4 linked regions of the Schizosaccharomyces pombe genome follow. Changing the gene in region 1 together with any one later gene gives a genetic interaction. Each region holds a gene or a part of one and is shown on either strand. Other genes may lie near its edges. The genes, in order: scs7, ubp8, amk2 and swc5.

Region 1 (4,585 bases):
GCGTTATAATAGCAATGCTTTAATCATAAACAATGCTTACTCAGTTTTGCTAGATCATTTTTTACTATAGTCTTTATCGGCAAGAAATTGAGGAAACTCCTTCAAGGCATGATGATCGTAATCATTTAAGAAGTCTTTGACATGTATTATGCATCTAAATGTCAGAGGTTGAGAAAAAAACAAATAAACAAATCTGAAAGTGTCAGGAAAATGACTTGGCAATAATTCAAGCTTATTCATGTTAACCAACGTCAATAGTAATGGTTAATAACTCGACGTCCGCTTAACAAACACTAGGGTAAATTTACCTGCAACTTGTAATTGAGGAATTCTAAACGCATTCCCCACAAGCTAGTTTCTGTTAACAAATATTTTTATAGATTTTGTCTAAAATCTATTTTCTGGTTAAATAATCAGTAAATTGCTACACTTTTATTCACAAGAAAACAAATTTTTAAAATAAAAATTTATTAGTGAAATCCTATATGATGATTTAAGTTACCCTAATACTCAAAAAAGGAAGGTTGTCCGAGTGGTTATGGAGCTAGTTTAAGGCACTAGTGCGAAAGCTCGTGGGTTCGAGTCCCACACCTTTCATTACGATCTTTTTAATAAATTTTTTTACATTTTATAAACAAATGTAAAATGACCCTTAAATATAGTTAAAACATATATATTGTGGATATCTCTATTCATCTTCTTCCTAAATTTTTCGTCTCGGCGTTGCATATTTGGTCAACAAAAACTATTCAGCGCTCTTATGATATGGAGATGCTTCTACAAGAAAATCATTTCGCACTACAAACAGATGGGGTGGTAAAAACAATTAAAAATTCGAATTATATTTAAAAGACAGATAAAAGGAAAAATAAAATAGCAACCTTAGACTCAAATTATATAGCCGATAGTCAAGATAATATTATTAAGTTCGACTTAACAAGGTAAAGTTTGAAAACTTGTTCAAAAGAAACCAGAAAATAGTATTAATAGAAAAGAAGAAAGACAAGACAATTTCAATGTGGGATACAAGATGCTTTAGCGAGTGGATCAATCAAATTAAATCAAATTTGATGTTTCTGCAATTCAAATATAATACACAGCTTTAAGGCACTATAATAAGGCCTAGTTAAAGTCAGAGAGAAAATGGGGGAAAATTGCTTAGTGATTTCAAGGGTAAAGAGAGGAGAAAAAATTTGGAAAGCAATTAAAAAAGAAAAGAAAAATACAACAAGATTTATATAGCACACAAAATTATTGATAGTTAAAAAGGACCAAAGAAACTTTTAACACCTTGAAAGCAATTTAGCAGCTAAATGATTCAAACGCAATCACAATCTACTTAGCCTTAGTGCTGATCTTTCCCTGTTCGTTGAAAAGAGGTCCCTCAGTTCCAAAAACACGGTCCCAAAACCAGCTGGTGATACCATAGGCAGACTTGTAATCCTTGTAGTGATGGTCCAAATGCCAGGTCTTCAAATCAGTCAAGTAAGCATTGGGCATACGACGGTGATGTAAGAAATAGTGGGTAAGATCGTAGAAAACGTAACCAAGAATGGCACCAGAGAAACCAGCAACACCAATGTAGTGAGGAAGAACAAGTTGAATAAAGTGATACCAGGGAGTGGCAAAGATAAGGAACAAAGCAGGAGGCATTACAAGACGGTACTTGTCAGCAGGTAAGAAGTGGTGGCAACCGTGGAATGCGAAGTGCATAGTCAAGAAAATAGGATGATCAGGGGTGTACTCATCCAAGTGGAAGAGGAAACGATGCATAGTATATTCAACCAAAGTCCAGGTGAATAATCCAATGATGAAGAAGGTGATAGCAACAGAGAAGGGAATTCCGGTACAGGCGTACAAGAATCCATAAGTGACACAGGGAACCCAAATCAATGGAATCATATACCAAGGGGTCTTGGTAAGAGGCTCCAAAAAGTTTCCAAACAAAGGAGCAGAACCGCTGCCACGGTAATGACGGGGACGGTGAACTTGGTCCAAATAAACATCCTTCTTGATGTTACCAAACAAAATTTGGGGCAATAAAGGCTTCTTGAGGTCAAGGAAATGGTTCTTCTCGAAATCCTTGTCAAGATCGGTAGGCTTGACAATGAATTCATTGCCATAACCGACACCAATGTTCTGGTCGACAAGATCACTGAATTCCTTATTCTTCAAAGGAACCTTAGCACTTTTCAAGATCTCAACAACAGCTTCAGAGTGCTTGGACTTGGAGGTAGCATTAAGGATATCAGCAACCTCTTGGCGGTGATAGCGACGAAGCAAGTCAGCAGCGTCCTTGTTGGCAACCAAGTAGTTGGTGACTAATGGAATGTTAGTATAAAGAACGATACATGTATTTTGGTGTAACTAAGGCAAAGGGGGAAAGGTGAAAAAAAGTTAAAAGCACAACGAACAAAGAAAAAAGATAAGAAATGGCACATCTCCCACAATGGATCTTTTGCCAATAAGCCTTTGCTATATGCGTTTTCATTGTTTTTTATACATTGCCTCTCAAACACTCTGTTGCCGAGAAAAAATTTTAGTCCTTCAACCAAATCTCCTTCTCAAAACCCAAACACCCTGCCATTTCTCCTTGTTTAAATACTTACCATCGTATTCAGTGCCGTCAGAAAGGATAACACACTTTTCACTAGTAACAGAGGCCATTTTGGAGATGGGAGTATGAATTGTTAATTCGTGATAAAACTGTAGCAAGCGTGTTTCTGATGAGTTTGATAAACAAATACAGTAAATATTACAACGTAGCAACTGATCCTATGATTCTTTACTTGGATTTTTGTCCAATTGATCAAAATGTCAGTTCTTTGTTTGTGTTGCGTTAATGGCACGATGTTGTGGCGTGGATGCAGTAGCCTATATATGTCGCAGGAAAGGGCAAAAAGGCATTGCGGGGCGAACCAAAAAATCGTGCTATTTTTGATCGACTTTTCCGAAAAATGGTAAGACAACGGAAAACAATATTTACCGTATCGCAAAACGGGTTCCGAAACTGAACACCAGAAAATTGCACTCAAGGGCCTATACACAGGGAAAGAACAGACGAGTGAAGTGCTTTACAGATACAATTCATTGATTTATTCATAGTAGACTAAAAATTATTATTTGCGAAAAAATACTTGAAAAGAGAAAACCTTAAGTTGATCGAAATTTATTAACTTTTCGTGATTTACTTTTCGTTGGTTTGGTTAGGTATAATTTTGTTTTCCTTCCTTTCCGTTTCTTTGCTTCTTATTGTCGGTAATTGTTTTTAGCTTGGAATTTCCTTATTCCGCTATTCCTCGCTTTCTTTTTTGTTTGTACTAAAATTTCTCTCATCTTTTATCGCTTAGGCAGTAGAATATTCCACTTTTTTTTCCACCGAAAGAAAGAGGACAAAATAGCTCAAAAGAGTACTCATTATTAATATTTTTTAACAAAACAATTCGTGTTAGAAGCGACGAAAGCTACTAGACTGACAAAACTCCATTTTTACTAGCTTACTTAGTTTTCCAGTCGAAGTCTGTTCCGATCCTGTCAGAGTTTGTTGTATTGAAAACGAAAATAAACGAACGTATTTTCCACGCATAGATAAACAGATCTAATCTAAATGCAGCTGGACGCGGAAGCCTTGGCTGAGGCTCCTTTTCGTAAGCAAGAAGTGGTACGTTTACAATTTTTTTCCTTCCTTCCCGCCTTTTCCCTTTGTTTTTTTGTCTTCCCGTGTTTATTGTTTTTACTAACCCTTTTCCTAGCCGCAAAATCAAGAAAATCAGCAAAAGGCATCTTCTTCTTTTCATGAATCCTCACTCACCTCTTCCACTCATAGTCATCCCTCTAACCCTCCTCCACCGCCTACACGGTTGCATGATCGCTCTTTCAAACCCGTGTCTAAAAATTACGAAAGTGAAGGTCGTCTAACTCCTCCTCCCGTTTCAATGGGTTATCGGTACGCCAGATCTTCCAAACAATCTTTTCAACGAGAGGATAGCGGTTATAACGATGATGTAGTTACAAATTCCTCAAGTCATCGCACCCCAAGACACCATAGGAGATCATATAGTCCAAGGTCCGATTATGGTAGTCGCTCTCCCTCTCCTCACTCTTCTGTAGATTCTCATCAAAGTAGATCACCCGTTCGTTCTCGCGATCGCGATCGCAGTTCAAGGTCAAGTCGAAGCCGCCATCCCTCAAGTCGTAGTCGCCATCGATACGATGATTATTCACGCAGCCCTCCTTACTCTTCGCGGCATAGTCGTAGTCGTCGCCGCTATGAAGAACGCTCCTCTCGTTCTTCTAGAGCCCATGATTATGATTATGAGGACTTGAGGGATGATGACCGTTCACATGAGCGTAAGAGAAGTCGTTCCCGTCCTCGTGAACGCTCCTCTAAACTTTCAGAGGAAGAGCGTGATCGCCGTACTGTGTTCGTTTCTCAACTCGCAAATCGTTTGACTTCTAGGGAATTATATGATTTTTTCGAACAAGCTGGTCCTGTTCGCGATGCTCAAATTGTTCGAGACAAGATTAGCGGACGATCGAAAGGGTATGTCTTATAATTTTTTTTTTTTTTTTAAATAGATATTAT
Region 2 (4,820 bases), 3.5 Mb from region 1:
TAATGTGCTGGCTTCAATCACAGCCTTGGTCTTATACTGAGAAGAGACATAGTGAACTGCATCGGCAAGAATAAGACGACCCTCAGCGTCAGTGTTATCAATTTCTACACTAAGACCGTTGCGCATAAAAATAACATCTCCTGGCTTAGCAGCAGAGCCAGAAGGAAGATTCTCAGTTAAAGGGGTAACAAACACGGCATTCACGGGGATGGAAAGTTGTTCCAAGGCATAAATAGAGGAAAGCATAACAGCAGCACCACCCATATCAGCACGCATCTCCTTCATGTTTTGAGAAGGCTTGATACTGATACCACCGCTGTCAAACGTTACACCTTTTCCAACTAAACCAAGCCATCCATCATCTTTTGATTTTTCTTTACCAATGTATTGTACTTCTAAGAAACGAGGTGGAATATCGGAACCAGCATTCACGGTAAGTAAACCGTTCATCTTTTGCTCATCAATCCACTTCTCATCGTGAACGAATACTTTAACCTTTGAGGAATTTTGGAATAACTCTTGAGCAAAATGACAAAATTGAAGAGAAGTCATGTAATTAGCAGGACATTCCATAAGAGAACGAGCCAAGTTTTGAGCAGCTGCTTCAATCAAACCTACCTTAAAAGCATTCTCCTCTGCGGTTGCAGTTTTCTTCTCAGATGTGTTGCTAAGCAATTGGAAAGTTAACCTTTCAGGAGCAGGAGAGGTAAATAAATTTTCCTTTTCAACCACCTTTTCATCTTGATAGACGCTCAAATGGTCTCTACGAAGAGAAAAATCGTACGTGGCCAAGGCAGCACCCAAGGCAGCATCCTTGGGAAAACCCATACCATCGACAGCTATCGACTTTGCACCATTCGACTTTAAAATCTTAGCTGCCTCTGCAGCAGCTGAACGAACGGACTTTTCAGAAACGTTTTCTTCAAGCTGGACTATGGCAAGACGAACAAAACCCTGAGTGTTCCAAAAGAGACGAATGTCATTTTTTTTGGGAGATGTTTCAAAATACTGGTCAACAACTTGTCGATAATCTTCAGAAAAAACTTGTTTATCGTGACGAACAGCCAAAATCAAGGAATCGGCTTTTGTAGTAGCTAAAGGAATTCTTGGTAAAAGAATGGAAGAAAGTGAGCTCCAATTAAAGGTTCTCGTACTTAGACCTAAACCCTTCATTGTACGTAAGAAAAAAAGCTTTGCTTGTATCTTTGATTTCTCTTGATTTAGAAAACTTAATTAGACACTTGTAATCAAAAAAAAGGTAAAGGATTACGGATTATTATAAGTTCAATGAGAGTTGGATATTCGAAAATCGTTAACTCGTGAAACTACGAATACACGTAAATTCAGTATGCAAAAATAAAATACGATGTCCGATTGCAGATTGGGCAAGGGCAAGTGTACTTAACATAGTCTAGTGTGTTATTGAGTAGACAAGATCAACATTGTGATGGAAAAATACATTCAACAAGGCTAGACATAAAAAAGAAAAAGCACCAAAGGATTTTATTTCTTGATCAAAAACCAATTTTTAAGTAAGTCACACTCATTTGCTACATATATATTTGAACTTCTGCAGACGTATTGTTGCCCTACAATCTCTATTTAGGGTAACACAAACTGTTTCGGCACAAAAATCTGCCCCTAGTCAATTGTTAAGTAATAAATTCTATACAAATGTAATAGACAAAAATTTTCGTACATGTACCTGCTTGCAGTGACTCGGTTGTATTACAAAGATGCTCACGGTAAATAGTCATATATGGTTTTATATTTAGCCCTGCAAACGTTTCATGGCAACAAACATAAGCGTACACTTAAACACGTTCGACGTTAATAGAGGCATTAGTCTAATTTGACCAAGCTTTTAAAAAATTAACAATTTCATCTATTCAACCGTGATTAAAGGACTAGCAGTAATTTTTTTTATTTTGCAGTGACTCAACAGCCAAATCTATGGGAATTTACCAAGTTTATGTTTTAAAGAGGAAAACCAAGGACACTCAAGAACTACGAAGAACATCTATTTTGGTGTTTTATCAATTGACTTAGCGTAGCTATGATAGCTCTTTATACGAAATCGGTATCTAGTAGTGCAGACACTATGAGTACTTTATGGCTCTTAACGCTGTACACCGCATCCTTAATTGCCCAAATTTAAGCAAAGAGAAATAATGTTCTTTTGCCAGAATAGCGAGTTCGTCTATTGTTGTCGTTTCACCCTGCATCGAAGCAGATGCTTTTTAGTCTGAAAGGCCAATTTTGTACGTATCAAGGATGCCTGGGGATGTAGAAGGTTGCCAGCATCTTAAACTTAAACCGGCGGATGTTGAAAACTATCAAAAGATCTGTACCCAGATATTCAGTTGTCATGTAAGGCTTGTGAACAACACTTCATACAGTTCAATTTTCTTTTTCCATTCGATTCCTTTTAACATTTCTTTCATTTAGTTTGTCCCACGTCGCTGCAGTACTTGCAAACGCATCAACAAGCGGAGTATTCGATGCTTGAGTTGTCATTCTGTGGGATGTCTTTGGGGACATCATGGTGAAGAACACGCAATGGAGCACACTCATATGATCGGTACGTTTAGTTGAAAACATAGCTATTGATTTAGCAACGAAACCTTTTTGCGAATATCGAGTTAGGATGCAATTCCCGAATACCAATTACTAATTCTTAGGCGTGGATGTAAAAAATGGCCATACCTACTGCTTTGGCTGTCAAGACTACGTTTATCAGACCGAGTTGGAAACCCTTCGTTTTAAGATCAAGAATATCAAGGCATGGCAAAGTGATCACAAGAGACTTCCCGAGAAGTACAATCAAATGGTTTGCTTAGAAGCCTATCGAAAATACCCTCCAGTTTGCGCAACAGCAGGCTTGAGGGGGATCCAGAACTTGGGTGCTACTTGTTTCATGAGCGTCATTTTACAAAGTATTTTGCATAATCCATTGGTTCGAAACTTGTTTTTCAGTGGGTTTCATACTTCTACTGATTGTAAGCGACCTACTTGCATGACTTGTGCCATTGACGATATGTTTTCATCTATTTATAATTCTAAAAACAAATCTACTTTTTACGGTCCCACTGCTGTCTTAAATCTTATGTGGAAACTCAGCAAATCTTTATGTGGTTACTCCCAGCAAGATGGCCACGAATTTTTTGTATACTTGCTGGACCAAATGCATACGGAAAGCGGAGGAGGAACATCAATGCCGTGCACTTGTCCTATTCATCGTATTTTTAGTGGATCTCTGAAAAACGTTGTTACATGCCTAGATTGCAAGAAGGAGCGGGTGGCTGTGGATCCTTTGATGGACATTAGTTTAGACATCAATGAGCCAACACTTCAAGGATGTTTGGAAAGGTAAAATTTGCTCGTTTTTAGATTTTTTAACAAATATTATTTTAGGTTTGTTTCCAAAGAGAAAGTTCAATATAGCTGTCATAGTTGCGGGTCAAAAAATGCTATTAAACAATTGGTCTTTGACAAACTACCTCCAACTATTTGCATGCAATTGAAACGATTTGAACAAAATAACTTTGCCATGTCAACTAAAATAGATAAGCAAGTATCTTATCCAGCATTTTTAAGAATGCGCTACAACTTTAATCAAGATGATGTGGATTATCAATTATACTCAGTTGTGTGTCATAAAGGAACTCTCGACACAGGGCACTATATTGCCTATACATACTACCAAAATCAAGTATATTAAATTTTTTTTGAATTTTTTATGGAAATTTTTACTAATTTTTGTAGTGGTTTTTGCTGGATGACACCACAATTGTGGAAGTAAAGGAATCGGAGGTCTTAAATTCTCAAGCGTAGGCTCTTTGCTGTTATTTTTTTACATACTAACCAGATTATAGTTACCTATTATTTTACCATGAGCGTCAAATCCTATACAGTGATGAAATGACTGTTAAAACGGAAAATTGAGTTAGATTATGCGATCAGATATCCGTTCATGAACAATCATTATGAACCATGTAAAGTAATTGACTCAAAGGTTCCTTATTTATGTGGTTATGAAACATCATCACTTCGATAATCTAACTCATGAAGAAGCTTTTAGATTTCATATTGTTGAGGCCAGAAATGGCATTGGATTTGGAACCGTTACAACAGTCGCATTTTAATTAATGACCTTACGTAAATTTATAAAAAAAGTTAAAACTATAAAAAAAGAAACATGCTTTTTTTCTTTCAAAGTTAACAAATACTATAAGTTTGAGGAATTTGGACTTTTGTTTTGTTTCGTTTAATATTATTCCAACTAATTATAATTTTATCTTTTAAAAGCTAAGTCTTGTCGTCGAGTAAGCTATTTTATATGTAACTGTTAAAATGTATAAAATTTTAAAATATTAATAAGGAAAACAACTCTTTGAATTAAGGAAGCATGTCAAGTTCACAAAATCGGTAGTTGCAGATCGTCCAAATCCTCTGGAATGCTGCAATACTCACGAATTTGATTGGTATCGGCACCCATGTCTCGACAAAAAGCTATCAAAGTATGGATTTGATCGGTCCACAAATTGGCAGCTTCCATGTACTTTTTAGTATTCTCATTTTTTAATTCAAAGGTTTCAGGATTACAGTGATTTAAATTTGAAAGTTGTGTTTTAAGAAGTTTTAGTTCTGATTCTTTTGCATGTAGCAGTTCCAAAGTGTATTGATTGGCATCATTTTCGGTTCCTTCGTTATCCCTTTTGGATTTCTCGAAACTAATGTTTTCATCTAAAGTTTTAGATTTTTGTTTCAAATCATCAAGTTGAGCTTGAAGAGATCCGAGAACTGACTCTCTTGAACGT
Region 3 (4,349 bases), on another chromosome or scaffold:
ACGAGAGATCCATGTCTTAAACAAAAAAGTTTTAAATTAGTGCTCTTAATAATTAGCACTCTGGATGTAAGTGATCAAGGAAGGTGCCCTTTCAAGTTGTTTGCGTAATGCACTATCTTGTATACCATGTCAGCAATATGACACTACGCTATGATACACTACGTTGCGTATCACTATATGTCACATGTTCTAATTATATATCGTACCATGTATGATACGATATGGAGATTGATCTTAATGATAATCTATTAAGATCAATATTATCTGAATACTATAAATAGAGCTACTGCTGAACCTCGTTCCTCAGTTCAGTTATGAGCTATATTAGTGATAGGTAACATTATAACCCAGTTAATACAATACCTATACTCAGTTGCTACTTATACAACCTGTGTATTGTAATATAATAGATCACAAGGAAAACTCACCGTAGTTCTACGTATCCTTAAATCAGATACCAAACTGCGTAGCGTACATACCAATTCTAAATACTACTATTCCTACAATACATTAATGTCAGCTTATATAAAATACACTACGATACACTATAACATATGCTCTAATATTCTATTTGCTCTATTTACTTACAAGATAAGTTATCAAGAAGATTATAATAGTGTTCAATAATAAAAAGATGTTATTTTATTACATAGTTTTTTCAATGCTTTAAATTAAGACAAACTGAACCTCGTTCCTCAGTTCAGTTATTAGCTAAATCGGTCACCAATACTAGTAGACTTATAACAATAAATATAATATTGTTAGTGAAGCATACCCATACCGTTATCTTGTAGCCCGCAAAAGAAACTCATCGCATTTTAGTGTATCGCTAAACAAATACCAAACTACGTAGCAAACAATAAATCGCGTAGGTTATTCATTAAAAGCCTCTAGGATATGTATGGGTATAATTTGTATATTTAAACGGTCTATTTCAAATCCTTCCTCGTGTTCGTGGCTTTAAAACAGCATAAAAAGATTACCACTGAAATCAAAATTTCGTTTGAGTTAGGTGAACGGAAAGAGTACTCTAACAGCATATTCAACCATATGTACTTCAATTCATGACATTTTTGTAATGGAACATATCATATCAAAAAACAATACTTCATACTTTATTGTATCATTAAACCAATACTGAGCTGCGTACTAACAACATATAAGTTTTCACTACTTTGCTTCGTTATAGATTATAAAGTGAAGGATTCATCGCAACAAAAATTCACGTTTGGTTTGGTAAAGTCGTCATTTAACTAAAAAATAATATATTCTTCGTTTCATATGGAATGTATTTAATCAGTACGTTCATTGAAAACACTGTTCTTGTTTTTGCAATGCAGTGATTTTAGTTCGCTTATTTCGCAGCATAATAAGTAGACATGAAAAATTGACGGAAATAGAGCATTTGATATCTAGAAATTCAGGCTTTTTTTAAGTTCGTAACTTAATTTGAGTGATTTCGTCTGAGAAATAGAAGCGTCTTTTTTACGAAAGAAGTTTTTGCGCCATACTTATATATTGTTATACTAGAACGTAGTTAAAAAAGATGAAGCTATACGAGCGTAATGTACAAGGTATTCATTAATTTATAAACATATAATATGCAGGCCTTTCGGTTATGGAAGTTTAACTCAATTAAAGCCTCGCTAAGTTACAATAATTATAAGTGAACCGCTTTTAGTGTATAATTAACTTGAAGGCCTCTCAATGCACAGAGTAGTTTAAAATTTTTCTATATCGTTTCATATGTAGCTTCAATAATTTTTTAAACATTTCCATTAAGAATGAGAAGCATGCTGCTTTTTACCTTCAAAAGATTATACATAGCTGTTGTAGAACTGTATTATACGTCCCAAATGCAATATTAAATTTTTCAGCTTTTATCATACAGCTTTTAGATATTTATTCTTTATAATAAATGGATTTTCAATTAATGTTTTCTTTGATAAAGCTGCAAAACAGTACGAAGCGTTTAACTGTGAATAACGCTGCACTTTAGCTTCCACTATTTAATGATAGCTTAGATACAATAAATAACCTTATTTCATGCTCGTTGGGGTTTAGTTCAAAGTGATGAGCTACAAAGCCAGAACAAACTACTTTACATCATTTCAAAATGGGAAATGTTCAATCTCAGGAGGGTAATGTCCTTTAAGTTAAACACATGTGAAATAAGTATCTAATTTAATGTTAGGAGAGACTCGCGCACATGCTGTCCCTTCTCAAGATGCCACAACAACGCCTGACAATGCAAATAACGTTCCAAAAGAACCACGTGCCCAAAGCATGATTAGTATTGCTGCAGATGATTTGAATCAAGAAGGTGAAATGTCGGATGATAATCAGCAGGAAGGCGGTAATAATCGTACTTCCCAAAACGGAACTTCAGGATCGAGTGGTCATACGAAACGCCGTTCTCAAACTTCAGGCAAGAAGACACATCAGCCTTATTCTGGTAAGTTTCTTTAAGACCGGTTTATTTGATTGCTTGACATCCTTATGTAACAAGGGTGATTTACCGTAACATTGCATTATCATTTAAGCTGTTGACCTTAACGTTTGTTTGCAATAGTTTTCAGAAAGGAGATTTTTTGCAATTGACAATTTAATTACTTACACATATAGGTCCTTGTGTGCCAACCATTATTCGATGGAGAGGAGGCGGTGAAGTTGTTTATGTCACTGGATCGTTTTCTCGTTGGAAGAAAAAAATCCAATTACTGAAAAGGTATGAGTTTTTCATGGTGTGCTTTTTTCTATATTTGAGCCTCCCTTTATAGGTTGTTTATCCTGTTTTAAGCTTGCTAACTTTTTCGCCAAATAGCGAAGATTACACTGTCCTTTTGCAATTACGTCCTGGAACTCAGCGTTTTAAATTCTTGGTTGATGGTATATGGTGCTGTTCTTCAGATTTTCCAACTGCCACCGATGCGGAAGGCAACCTTTACAACTACCTCGAGGTGGAAGCTAATGAGAAGTTAGGCGCTAGTATTGATGAAAGATTGAGTCAAGTTCATACGGACCTTCCGATGGAGGAAAAGTCTGAATCTGAGCAATATTCTACGGAGATACCAGCTTTTCTTACTAGCAACACCCTTCAAGAGTTGAAGTTGCCAAAGCCCCCTTCTCTACCTCCTCATCTTGAGAAGTGTATCCTTAACTCAAATACTGCCTATAAGGAGGATCAGTCTGTCTTGCCAAATCCTAATCACGTCCTTTTAAACCATTTAGCAGCTGCAAATACCCAGTTAGGCGTTCTCGCTTTAAGTGCTACTACGCGCTATCATCGAAAGGTAAGTCGGTTCCTTATACGCGTTGCTTGACTAACTTTGTTTCCCCAGTATGTCACTACTGCTATGTTTAAAAATTTTGATGTCTAGCCATACCGCATCTGTCGAATTTATTGTTTATATTTCGCGACGTATATAATCACTTTAATGATAAATTTATTTTTTTAAATTTCTCAAACATCCCATCATTATACTTCATTTGATTGGTTTATTTGCACGATTTTGTTTCGAGAAAACTTTACGCTGTGATATCAAGCACAAAGCAACCAGTTCATATTTCACTATGTAGCGATCCATAGGTTAATTAATTTTTATAAATACATATCTAGTTACTTCACTTCACGATGTTATTCTCTTAATCCTTTGCGTAACGGAACCTTTTCCACAAATATAGCAATAGGTAGAAGAACGAAAAAATCGCGACTCCATTAGTCACCCATTCTACGACATGTTTATAGGATAAATCGGCTATTGGAATAGATATGCTTAAGGTTGTTGGATCGTTTTGTAAGGTATATTTGTTCTTACTGGAAAACAGAAATCTGAAATCATTTACTTTGTCTTCAGTGTCACAATTCCAGAAAAACTTGGGATTTGTTAATGATGTTTTTAAGTATGTTTGTCCTTTGAGAGGGCTTTGATAACGTGTGTGTAAGGGAATGATAGTGTCTATATAGTCTTTTTGCAACAAACCATCGTCCGTATATATGTCAAACCAGAAAAAAGACCCAGTACCATTTAATTTGTAACTAGGTGCTTCCAAGTCGGTCTCACCCCAAATTCCTAAAACATGCCCTAAATTGTCGGCATGCATTTCCGCAATATTAGATAGCTCGTACCTGTCAATAAACAATGTAGGTGGTATGTACATGAACCCCTGCAAAGAGCATTCGTCTTCAGGTTTATGCAGATTTTTCAAATGAACATGCAATTTGGGATGTAGACCTACCGGCAAACCGAGCTGTGTCTCATAACTACCCACTGGTATATCTAAATTTGGAACAGTTTCCAAAGACACATTCCATCCCTTTTCACTCATACAAGCAAAAATCATTTCTT
Region 4 (3,366 bases), on another chromosome or scaffold:
TCGATTTATGTGCGAGAAACAGTAAATGAACGTAATCTCATCCTTTTTTTTCAGCCATTGTTTAAAAAGTAGAAAATATATCTTTGGATAGCTAGCAGAGCATTGTCGAGAAATCATTATTTTTAGTTATTTCAGCTTCTCAATGTCGAATGTTACACCTTAGGGTAGGTCTTTAAACAGCGTGACTGTTTTTGGTTTTCTGATCAACACACTGAAAGTTTAGGATCAGTTGCACAGAACCACCACCACCGCTTTTTTATCAAAATGGGTGCCTACAAGTACTTGGAAGAGCTTGCTAAGAAGAAGCAATCTGACGTTAACTTGTTCTTGTCTCGCGTTCGCGCTTGGGAGTACCGTCAGATGAATGTAATCCACCGTGCCAGCCGTCCTTCTCGTCCTGACAAGGCTCGTCGTTTGGGTTACAAGGCTAAGCAAGGTTATGTTATCTACCGCATCCGTGTCCGCCGTGGTGGTCGTAAGCGCCCTGTCCCCAAGGGTCAAACATATGGTAAACCCGTCCACCAGGGTGTTAACCATCTCAAGTACCAACGCTCTGCTCGCTGTACCGCTGAGGAGCGTGTTGGCCGCTACTGCTCTAACTTGCGTGTATTGAACTCTTACTGGGTTAACCAAGATGCTACTTACAAGTTCTTTGAGGTTATCCTTGTTGATCCCTCTCACAAGGCTATCCGTCGCGATCCTCGTATCAACTGGATTGTCAACCCCGTTCACAAGCACCGTGAGTCTCGTGGTCTTACTTCCATTGGTAAGAAGTCTCGTGGTATTGGCAAGGGTCATCGTTTCAACAACTCTCCCCAGCATGCCACCTGGCTCCGTCACAACACTTTGTCTCTTCGCAGATACCGTTAGAGAGTTTGGCGCTAATTGTAATATCTCAAAACAAGACATTTCTGTTGTTCAAAATATATTAGTCGAAAGTATTTTTTGTAACTATTTGTAAGAAACTCAGGAAGAAAGTAGTTAACTGTATTCAACAATAATAAGCTCATGGTATGATGGCTGTTGTTGAGAGTATATGTATATAAAAAATACTGTTTAAAAAGTTTAAAAAATCATAAGCTTATTTATTCAAATAGTAAAAATATACATAATATACATACTATCTTTGACTTTTACTTAAAATCTAAGCAAAGAAGGCATGGAGATAGCGATGAAAGCTAGAATGTGCTTTTCGTTCTGCTCACTCTGTTAAAAAACAATAAAAAAAAGAAATGTAGTACATTAATAAGAAAATGGTGATATTAACTTTATATGTGTATTTTTTAATAAAAAGAAGCAATCCCGTATATTATAATTGTAAGAATAGTAATCAAAAATTCATTGTTATACCATGAGAGAAGAATATTATTCCCTTTTGATAATGTTTTGCATTGGATATCACCCCAAAGCACTTATCCATTATTTTTCACAATCTTTCTAATTCCAAAAAAATGTACAGGTTTCAAAAATTATAGTTTAGGACCGGAGTTTGTCAAAGTAAAGTTGTTTATCCTAGCCTAGACAAGAAAGTTAGGAAATCATAAAGGCAACAAAATCCAACACCAATTCAATTGGAAAAAAAAAGGTAAAAGATTAATCTGGAAAAATATTTTAAAAAACATTACAAAAAAGATAATATAACTTCCATAAACTGGTTAATTGACGCTCGAGTGTTTTGAGTTTTTTTATAACAAATCCCCCACAAGTCTTATTTAATTAAACAACTGAAAATTAAAACGTTGCTTATCACATACTGTTTCAATAACATTTCGTTCTATCACAAAGCTTTATTAAAAACGTCTCCATTTAGTATCAGCCTAACTAAAGTCAAGGGCTAGTTGAGCTGCGATGCCATTTTCCAAATCTTCTAATTCTAAAACAATATCTTCATTTTCAGAAGATGACATGATAGAGTTCTTTTTCTCTTCATAAGCTCGACTAAACGAATAATTAGCACATAAGTAATACAAAAGCCCTTACCAAACTGCCTCTTTTGAATAAATCCTTAAGTATTGAGTAATTAATTCTAAAGCACTTGGAGTAATTTTGGTTCCCTTTTCTGAACTGAAATACAAGGTCAGAATGCGTGCCAACGTATTGAGGGACAGCAGTTCGCTTTCCTGCTCCATTACACTTCAATGACAGAGAAATTAATTGATTTCGGCCTTGAACAAGAGGAGGAGGATACGGAATTTGTCCCAGGTGACAGTACGGATACGGAGTCGTCGTTTTCTGATGCTGATTCAAGTGAGGAGGAGTTCGTAGAGGAAAAAGAAGCCTCGCAAGTTCAAAGTACTAAATCAAAAATTGCAACCAGTGAATCTGAAGATGTTACTCTTAAAAATATAGCAAAAAAAAATAAAAGAGAAAGAAATGATAAATTAATCCCTCAACAATCAAATGAATCCGAGGCAATTGAGAAACCGGTACAGTCTACAACCGAAGTGGAACTGAAGACTAATGAACTTGCAGAATCGAATTCCTCAGTTGCCGTAGAAGGGGATGAAAATTCCTATGCTGAAACACCTAAGAAGAAACACTCATTGATAAGGAAACGCCGTAAATCTCCACTTGATAGCTCGTCAGCCCAAAAGGTTTTAAAGAAAAACAAGCTAAACACTCTTGAACAAGCACAGCAAAATTGGTCAAAGTATATTAAGGAACAGGATATTCAAGATGAGCTTCGGATCGCCAATAAAGATGGTTATGTCGAGCGCCAGGAATTCTTAGCAAAAACCCGTGCTGCACATGAAGAAAAAATTCGAGAGATGAAAAAGTTGCCGTAACAAAATGGTTTAAAACTTAAAACTAGTATTTTTTTTAATGAAGAACCCCTTTTGTCTAAGACACCAGCCGGCAGCATTGAACGAGTCCATGTCGATTTTGCGTTTCTTCAACTACTTCACCTCCTCCAAGCCAGGAAGTCGTTGTCTTTCTAAAACTTCATTTGAAAATATCCAGATATTATTTAAATGTTTTATTTAATTGGATTAGGATTATTTGATGAAAAGGATATTACCTTAAGAGGCCTAGAAACAGTAAAAAAATGTCAGCGTATATATCTTGAGGCATATACGTCCATTTTGCTCGTTCAGAAGGAAAAATTAGAAGAACTTTATGGTAAAGAGGTTATCCTTGCTGATCGTGAAATGGTAGAGAGCAGTAGTGATGAAATCTTGAAAGACGCTGACAATTGTGATGTTGCAATGCTTGTTGTTGGTGATCCGATGGGGTATGTTTACTTGAAAGTACATGTTCCTTTTATTTATCTTTTTTTTATTTACTTTGAGAAATTTGACTCAGCTGTTTATTACAGGCTTTTAGCCCTTACGACAGCATCTCTCAGTTATTAAAAAAGCTTTGGTT

The links.
Region 2: mutations in scs7 (region 1) and ubp8 together harm fitness less than expected from each alone (positive genetic interaction), as found in Schizosaccharomyces pombe (2 studies listed by BioGRID).
Region 3: mutations in scs7 (region 1) and amk2 together harm fitness more than expected from each alone (negative genetic interaction), as found in Schizosaccharomyces pombe (3 studies listed by BioGRID).
Region 4: mutations in scs7 (region 1) and swc5 together harm fitness less than expected from each alone (positive genetic interaction), as found in Schizosaccharomyces pombe (2 studies listed by BioGRID).

What each region holds. Positions count from the first base shown.
Region 1 is NC_003424.3:4,055,040-4,059,624, reverse strand, and holds scs7 (ER sphingosine hydroxylase Scs7), read right to left. Parts: upstream 2,850-4,585; 5' UTR 2,668-2,849; coding exon 2,610-2,667; intron 2,590-2,609; exon of another isoform or gene 2,322-2,589; coding exon 1,336-2,321; 3' UTR 810-1,335; downstream 1-809. Other genes in the region: RNA-binding protein Rsd1, read left to right, coding at 3,608-3,661, 3,753-4,543. UniProt on the Schizosaccharomyces pombe protein: Ceramide hydroxylase involved in the hydroxylation of sphingolipid-associated very long chain fatty acids. Postulated to hydroxylate the very long chain fatty acid of dihydroceramides and phytoceramides at C-2.
Region 2 is NC_003424.3:578,845-583,664, reverse strand, and holds ubp8 (SAGA complex ubiquitin Ubp8), read left to right. Parts: upstream 1-2,184; 5' UTR 2,185-2,274; coding exon 2,275-2,370; intron 2,371-2,448; coding exon 2,449-2,581; intron 2,582-2,681; coding exon 2,682-3,369; intron 3,370-3,414; coding exon 3,415-3,712; intron 3,713-3,716; exon of another isoform or gene 3,717-3,765; coding exon 3,766-3,830; exon of another isoform or gene 3,831-3,875; coding exon 3,876-3,945; 3' UTR 3,946-4,312; downstream 4,313-4,820. Other genes in the region: ysp2 (peptidase family M17 cytoplasmic leucyl aminopeptidase yspII (LAP yspII)), read right to left, coding at 1-1,173; protein Mcp7, read right to left, coding at 4,418-4,820. UniProt on the Schizosaccharomyces pombe protein: Histone deubiquitinating enzyme component of the transcription coactivator SAGA complex. SAGA acts as a general cofactor required for essentially all RNA polymerase II transcription.
Region 3 is NC_003421.2:2,206,767-2,211,115, reverse strand, and holds amk2 (serine/threonine protein kinase AMPK (beta) regulatory subunit Amk2), read left to right. Parts: upstream 1-2,088; 5' UTR 2,089-2,116; coding exon 2,117-2,141; exon of another isoform or gene 2,142-2,194; coding exon 2,195-2,455; exon of another isoform or gene 2,456-2,625; coding exon 2,626-2,728; intron 2,729-2,824; coding exon 2,825-3,293; intron 3,294-3,341; coding exon 3,342-3,380; 3' UTR 3,381-3,631; downstream 3,632-4,349. Other genes in the region: SPOM_SPCC1919.04 (uncharacterized protein), read right to left, coding at 1-13; pbn1 (GPI synthesis protein pig-X), read right to left, coding at 3,646-4,349. UniProt on the Schizosaccharomyces pombe protein: Beta subunit of AMP-activated protein kinase (AMPK), which is required for transcriptional, metabolic, and developmental adaptations in response to glucose limitation.
Region 4 is NC_003421.2:2,099,615-2,102,980, forward strand, and holds swc5 (Swr1 complex subunit Swc5), read left to right. Parts: upstream 1-2,129; 5' UTR 2,130-2,138; coding exon 2,139-2,786; downstream 2,787-3,366. Other genes in the region: rpl15 (60S ribosomal protein eL15), read left to right, coding at 265-870; FANCM-MHF complex subunit Mhf2 , read right to left, coding at 1,818-1,938, 1,981-2,129; diphthine synthase Dph5, read left to right, coding at 2,973-3,232.